Cricetulus griseus: one gene and its partner. The protein of the gene in region 2 purifies or fractionates together with the protein of the main gene of each other region. This does not show direct contact. Links are inferred from orthologs where the notes say so. Each region holds a gene or a part of one and is shown on either strand. Other genes may lie near its edges.

Region 1 (4,205 bases), on a different chromosome or scaffold from region 2:
AGCCTGGGATACATGACATATTATTCCAAAACTACAAACAGGCAATCAAAGAAACAAAACCCAAAATGTTCTTTTGGTTGATGGACCAAATGATCTCTGGAAACATGTGCCCTGGGTTGACTTTAGAGCCTGTCCTGGAACTAGCTCTTGTAGATCAGGCTGGTCTCGAACTCACAGAGATCTGCCTGCCTCTGCCTCCCAAGTGCTGGGTTTAAAGGCATATGCTACCACTGCCTGGACAAACCTGCTTTGTAGCTAAAACTGACCTCAAACTCCTAATTGTCTCTCCTGCAGATAGCCACCACGTGGAGCTCCTTCCTTCTTCTGTTTCTGCTTGAGTTCCCAGCTTCAAGCCCCCTCCATCATCTGCCCCATCTGACTAAGTATCTGGCCCTCTCTTAGATGGGCAGGAACCCGCCTACCCATCTTGATACTTAGTTTAGCCCTCTTTCCCCCAGCCCAACACTCACCACGTAGCAGCTCTCACAATATGCCCTCCTCTCCACAGCATAGAAGTGCTGGCCCCGGAGCTGGGCCCGACAGGTAGAACACACAAAACAACCAACATGGAAGACACGGTCCAGGGCCACAACCCCAGCTCCATCGCCAACCACATCTTCGCCACAGCCACCACACCGACCTGAGGATAGAGAGCAATGAGCATCAGTCTGTACATATCCATGTCACCAGAGCCACCATCTCCTCCCTCTGCCCACCCTACCCACCAGGTCAGCTCACCAAAGTACTCCCCACTGGGCGGGTGGCTCATGTCATGCACCAATTTCTTGGTCAGTCTCTCTAGCTCTTCTTCCGGAGGTTGGCTTAAAGGGACCTACAGTGAGAATCAGGGCTTTGTGGTACTACCTACAGTCTCTGATACCATGAATAATCTGTAAGGTCAGAACCCTGAAACTCATCTGAGAACATCTCCCAGAAGCTAATGGGGGGGAGGTACCTAGCCCATTCCCTTTGGCCATTTTGACCCATGACCTCTAAGTACTCCAAAAACCAGGATTGATTTATTCATTTATTTATTGTTGGAACAGTGTCTCATATAGCCTAGGCTGGCCTGGAACTTGTTATGTAGCCAAAGATGACCTTAATCTACTGATCCACCTGCCTCTACCTCCACCATGCTTGTGGATAGAACCTTGGAACCCCTGCATAGTAAGCAAGCACTCTACCAACTGAACTGCCTCCCCAGCCCTAAACCAGTATCCTAAGTACTCCATGCCACCCAATCAATGCCCACTTACCTAAAATGACCACAAACCCAGTGTCCCCCATCCCCCACCCGGCTCACCTGGGGCCCATGCCCGCCTCCTCTTCCTCCTCCTGCAGGGCCATGTATCCCAGCGGCTTCCTCCTTTACCCCTGGTCCTGGCTCACGGTGGCTCCTATAGCCAGACCCCCAGACTTCACTACGGCCTGGCAAAGGAAAGTGGGGGCCTGGAAGAGGCCCAGAGGCCTGAGAGGCCCTCCGCCTTGGCAGTCCACAGCCTCTCACTGGTTGAGCCACCTTCACTTGTACAGGGAAAGCAGGACCAGCTGGAGTGCTGGCTGTGGCGTAGGAGGCTGGGGTAGGTCCACCATAAGGGGCTGCTGGGAGCATAGGGGTTGGAACAGCACCTCCACTGGGCTTCAGGGAGCCTGCGCGGTAAGCATGGGGTGGAGGGACCTCAAAAGCCTGGGGAGACACGCAATGGAGAAACAGTGAGTAAGGCCCTAACCAACATCCATGCATTCCAGGTGGGAACCACAGAGAAGCAATGATTTCTGACAAGTTCCCACGGGCAAGGCCCGGCAAGGAGGCAGCCCGTGCTTCCTTGAGCCAGCTGTTCATTAGTTGCAAAGTGTGGAAAGGATGGCTTCAGGCTGAAGAGCCACAGAAGGGAACTGGCTAGGGATGGGGACGCAGACACAGGACACAGGACACAGACCTGTCGGTCTGCCCGCCGAGGAGCATGACTGCGACCCCCGTCCAGATCAGCCAACATGCTAGTGAGTGAATCTATCTCAGCATCCAGGCTTCCAGGACGGATGACACCCCTGTCTGGCGGGAGCCCCTGGAGACAGAGCCAAAGCAGGGAGAACAAATATAGACCACAACCCTTGGGCTTCTGTCGCCTTCACCCTGAGACAGAGACCCACACATCCTCCTCTCATCTCCAATTCTCACCTGCAGACGCTGGGGTGCTCCGTGGGAGCCCACCCAAGTAGGCCCCCGATCGTCCGGTACCCCCGGAGGCTGATAACACTGTTCAGGTGGGAGGGGGCAAAAATTGACCCTGGGGTGGGGCTGGAGTGCTGTAAGGGAGAGAACAGAGGTGGGAATGGAGAATGGTACCTCGTGAAGGCTGCCCTGCTCGGGGTGCCTCTCCTTCACGCATCTGGGGCGTCTGGGAAGGGCTAGGAATCAGGGAAGGTTGCACAAGGGCAGGGGCCTCTGGCTTGGGGAGGAGACATCAGAAAGCAGACAGACAGGAGAGAAAAGGTGAAGGAGAGTGGCCAGTAGCTCCCCCGCCACTCCCGGGTGTGCGAGAGACAAACACTTACTTGCTCCGTGGGCCGGTGGCGGCCCCAGGGCGCCTCGGGGAAGCGCTCTTCCCTGGGGGACTCTGGAGGGCTCTGGCTGCTTCGGGGGAAGCCAGGTGGGCCCCGACATGGTCTGGGATGGTTACTCCACTCCAGACAGAGGTCACGGCCCCCACAAGCCCGGAGCCCTCCTGTCCCGTCCCACGCCCGGTTTGGGACTCCCGCAAAGAAACTTTTTCTGGCTTTTTTTTTCCCCCCTTCCTCCCCAATTTTGGGGCTGGCCCCGCCCCCTGACGTCACCACATTCCTAGAGAGGGTCACGTGGTCCCCCTAAACCCTAATCTGCAATCCCTCCCCTCTCTCTCTTTCTGTGGCCCCCTCCTGTTAAGAATGGGCCGCCCGCCTCGGGAGCCAAGCCACAGGGTGAGCTGCAAGGCGCTCAGAGGCTGCGGCCCAGCCCCTTCTACGATCCCTGCCCCAGGACTGCACGTGGCAGCCTCTCGGCCGGGACCTCAAAAGGCTTCTGGTCTCCACCCCCCTACAGATCTCTCCCTTCCCACCCACCTCCCGCTCACCTACCCACCAGCAGTGCTCCGCCAGCCCATAGTGTTTTGGTCTTTTATTAATGGTCAGTAGTTAGAAAAATAAAACAAAACACAAACATCACCACCCAAGGAAGTGGGAGAGGGAGGCGGTGCGTCTGTGGCCAGGATGGGGACACTGAGGTAGCCTAGAGTCGCAGAAGAGACCAGCCCCTCTGGTCAAGGCACCAATGAAGGAAGTGGAGGCAGGCCAAGGGCAGGGCCACAATGTCCTCCCAGGACTATGGGAACAGCCACCCAAAATTAGTGTCTACGTCCCCCCCATCCAAAGGAGACCATGGTCCCCTTAAAACATCATCCGAAGGGCAGAGTCCACTGGGGGATCCATTGTTCAGAATGGGCCTGGGCCCTCTATGCAACCCTGTCTCAACAGGCTTCAGAGATCAGTGCAGGTGACTGGAGTGACTCCATGAACAAGAAGGGTGGGGCCCAGGTCCCGGCTCAGGGTTTCCAGCAGCGCCAGGTATCTGGGGTAGCGGGCAGGATCGGCAGGCGGTCGAGGCAGGTACAGGAAGGTGAGGGCAGTAGCAGGTCCCTCCTCCCCATCCCTTCCTTCAGGCCCCCCAGGGCCTCCTGCCGCGCCTCGCCCCTGCTGGGCACGCACCAGGGCGTTGGCACTGCAAGCCAGAGCCTCGGCCTCTTCATCTCCTCGACCACCATTCACAAAGTCCCCTTCCTCTTCTTCATGCTCCCCAGTCTCGGCCCCTTCACCCCACACCACCTCTTGCACCTCTGCCCGGATCCTGAGTTGACTCAACAGAGCCCGCAGCCTGCCCTCCGCTGCCCCAGGAGCCTCCCTAGGCCCCAGGCACAGGAAGATCCGGAGCCGGGCACTGTGCCACGCAGGCACCATGCTTAAGATGGTAGCCATCTGCAACAGGAAAAGGCCACAGACGTCCACGTAGCCAGGCCCACCCCGGGGCCGCAGCAGGTTCAAGGGCCACACGTCCACGTGATGTAGCTGAGCGCTGCTGCTGGACCCCCGGCTTAGCCGCTCCGGGGGCAAAGCCCCACAAGCCCGGGCGAGAACCACATTCTTGTTCATCTTGAGAGCATCTGCCACTGTGG
Region 2 (3,560 bases):
CTTTGTAGGGCACAGGTCTGAAGGGACAGGAAGAAGGCGTGTTGACTGCACTTCTAGTTGTGGCCTTCTATGCAGAGTTGAGGATGGCGATAGCAGAACAGAGCTGTGGTGTGGAGTTCAGTGTCCTCTGGGACTGTCCCATTCCTGCCCCCTCTTCTATACCCATCTGTACTTGAACCAAAGCCCCTCCAACCATGGGACAAGGCTTCTGCCTTCTGTCTCTGTGCTGCTTGATCTATGACGATCCTGCCACTCTTTCCTTTCTTCTTCAGACAATGGTTTGGGTTATTTTATCTTCCCTTTCTGACTGCACTCCATTTGAGAGTGATGTCTCCATACTCCGGCCCATTGGCTCCTCTTAATCCCTCTCAGAGGTTTCCACACCCATAGGTGGTCTTCCTGTTAGTATTAGGTGGTGTCACAAAGATCTGTCTGGAATTTTCCTTCCCTGAGGGGGCTTCCACAGCAGCTCCTTCATGTGGAGTTCCTCTAAGGGTGACTCAGAGTCTCATTTCCCACCCTGTCATCATCCCCGTGTTCCACCCATATCCCATTTCCCACTGTCAGACAGGTGGGAACCCCGCATGGAGGCTCTCTAGCCAATAATAGTCTCTCAGGAACTGGTGTCAACTATCAGGGCTTGCTGGGAATTGAATAGTAAATTTGAAGTCATTGCTTTACCCTGCAAGTCTGTTTGTTTTTACAGTCCTTCATTATGATGAAGTCACTCTCTGGTTGTGTGGATTCCAAGATGCATGTAATTTTACCCAGTCAGTGAAATAGCCATAGCCTGTAACATCATGCACTATCTTTTCTATATCCCCTTCTCCCTGTCCCTTTGCTCCTGCTCCAACATAGGTCCTTGTCCTTTTGTACCTTTCATTAGCAGTTACATCCCATGAATATATCTTTGGTCTTCACACTCCCCAGTTGACCTGACAGAAAGCTTCCAGCTTCCCTCCCTGATACACGCTCATCCCTTGCCTGTAGGCCTATGCTCCTCAACATCCCCTTAGCCGGTCCTTCTCCTCTAGCTTCTGGCTGTCAGCTTGCTTCTCTCTAGCTTGTTCTGTCTGAGTGGACCCTGGCTTTGCCCTCTGCACCGACACCCACACACCCTAAACCCAACCTCCTTCCAGTTCACATGCGGCTGTTCAGCCAGGATGGTCTGATTCTGCTGTGCTAACAACATTAGAAACCTTTGGTGGCTTTACTTCTCCATCAGAGTTCGTGTCCATTGCATCCTGGCAGGTGGGCTCTATTCCATGTCCGCCTGTATCGGGGTCTCAGACTGGAGGAGCCTTTTCTCTCTGTAATGGTGTTAAGTCAAGGCACTGGGGGCATGGGAGGAGGAGTTCTCAGAAACTGGCTCTTAACTTTCTGCACACTTTCTCCTCCATGTTACTAGTCACAGGTATGTGCTTGGCATCATGGGATGGAGAAGTATAGATAGTCCTGTGTGCTCTTAGAGAGCCTGGAGGCAGGGACACTAGGTAGGTAGGTATCACACTGCTCTAGACAAACTGGGTGAAGGATCTGTGACAAAAAAGGAATCTAGAGATCTAGCAATGGCTGAGTGTTCTGCAGATGGAGAAGCACAGGAAGAGGCAGTGGAGTGCAGCAGGAGGGGAGAGCTATGGGACTGGCCTTCTCAGAGCTGTGTGCGCCCCAGAATGCAGTGTGCCCAGCAGGTAATCAGACACTACACCGCCACGGAGCTTCTGAATTACACAAACAATGCTTTCTGCAGGTTATTTTCTTCCATTTAAAACAATTTTTTTTTATTTCATTTTACATTCCAACCACTGTTCTCTCTCCTATCCCTCCTCCCACCTCCTCCTCGCTTCTCCCCTTCACCTCCCTCGCAGCCCACCCCCAGTCCACTCCTCCTCACAGGTAAGGACTCCATGAGGAGTCAACATAGTCTGGCACAATGGGTTGGGGCAGGGCCAGACCCCTCTCCCATGCTTTAAGGCTGAGCATGGCTTCCTACCATAGGCAATGGGCTTCAACAAGATAGCTCATGTACCAGGTTTGTATCGTGGCCTTACTGCCAGGGACCCCTCTGATAGCCCAAGCTTCACAAATGTCTCCCACATAGGGAGGGCCTAGTTCGGTCCCCCGGAGTCTCCATGGTTGTAGGTGTAGAGTTCATGAGTTTCCATGAACTTGGTTCAGCTGTCTCTGTAGATTTCTCCATCATCATCTTGACCTCCCTTGCTCATATATTCCTTCCTCTCTCACTTCAACTGGATTCCTGGAGCTAGGCATGGTTCTTGGCTGCGAATTTCTGTGTCTGGTTCCATCAAGTACTAGATGAAGGCTCTGTGACGATAGTTGGGATGTTGGGGCTCATAAGGCAGTTCAGGTGAGCTGTAGGTCGAGTCCTCTTCTAGCCCAGGCAGGCACACCAGCACTGTAGGATTAGTAGCCTGAGCCTGCAGCCTTCCATCCACATCTTGCTCAACTGCAGGCTTAGTGGGCCAATGACAGCTACCTTAGCCTGGTTCTTCTTGGCTTTTGGGCCTTTGGTGGAGTTACAACTACCAGTGCCTCTCCCTGTTGGAGAGGAAAGCTCTGTACCTGCTGTACTGGACCTTGTAGCATGGATTTTTTTGTTTTGTTTTGTTTTTCTATCAAAGAAGAATCTAAAATTCCAGTTAAGGAAATGTTCATAGATCATTGGTATCTGCCCTAGCTCAGCATCAGGGTTGTGTCCCTACCCACCGTGGCTCATTGCGCCAACAGTATCTCTTCTTTGAGTTCCACAGTGTTCCAGAAAACCTGCTTCTTGTCTAAGTGAAGTATATGTTTTTAACTTTCAGAAAAAAGATTACTTTGTGATACAATTATACTCTCAATATTGGACTTAGATTCGTCCATATCCTAAGTACCTCGCTTTCAACAGGTAGACCTATCCCATCCTATGGGTGAGCTTTAAGCGGGCAGACCTACCCCAACCTATAGGCGAGCTTGAAGCGGGCAGACCTGCCCATCCTGTAGGCGAGGAAGCTGAAGCTCCCAGGGCAACTTAGTGTGACTGAAGATGTGTCATTTTAGCAAGAAAATTTCCGACTCTTTCGGGGCCTATCTCAGTATTTGACTGGAGTAATGAGTCCAACTTAATACATTTTCAAAATCTTTTAAAACCTTTTTCCTTCCTCAGATAACATCTTTGTGCCCAACAAGAATGGATTCTATTGTCACTCCCAGACAAGTTTGGACAGAACCCAAATGGACCTCAGTGGCCGCATCCGCAATGGCAGCGTGTACAGCGCACACAGCACGAACTCCTTAAATACGCCCCAGCCCTACTTGCAGCCCTCCCCTATGTCCTCCAACCCAAGTATTAGTGGCAGCGATGTCATGAGACCCGACTACATCCCATCCCATCGGCACAGCGCCCTGATCCCCCCGTCTTACCGCCCCACCCCCGACTATGAGACTGTGATGAAGCAGCTCAACAGAGGCATGGTGCACGCAGACAGGCACAGTCACTCTCTGAGGAATCTCAACATTGGCAGTTCCTACGCCTACAGCAGGCCCGATGCCTTGGTCTA

Evidence for each region.
Region 1: the proteins of Ptpn21 (region 2) and Trip6 purify together in Homo sapiens (affinity purification with mass spectrometry; 3 studies listed by BioGRID and IntAct, with this or other methods). This does not show direct contact. The link is inferred for Cricetulus griseus from reciprocal best matches to the Homo sapiens genes PTPN21 and TRIP6.

What each region holds. Positions count from the first base shown.
Region 1 is NC_048597.1:116,225,472-116,229,676, forward strand, and holds the start of Trip6 (thyroid receptor-interacting protein 6), read right to left. Parts: upstream 2,826-4,205; 5' UTR 2,666-2,825; coding exon 2,557-2,665; intron 2,308-2,556; coding exon 2,180-2,307; intron 2,067-2,179; coding exon 1,941-2,066; intron 1,688-1,940; coding exon 1,304-1,687; intron 833-1,303; coding exon 739-832; intron 641-738; coding exon 471-640; intron 1-470. Other genes in the region: Slc12a9 (solute carrier family 12 member 9), read right to left, coding at 3,514-4,205. UniProt on the Homo sapiens protein: Relays signals from the cell surface to the nucleus to weaken adherens junction and promote actin cytoskeleton reorganization and cell invasiveness. Involved in lysophosphatidic acid-induced cell adhesion and migration.
Region 2 is NC_048598.1:106,997,722-107,001,281, forward strand, and holds part of Ptpn21 (tyrosine-protein phosphatase non-receptor type 21), read left to right. Parts: intron 1-3,166; coding exon 3,167-3,560.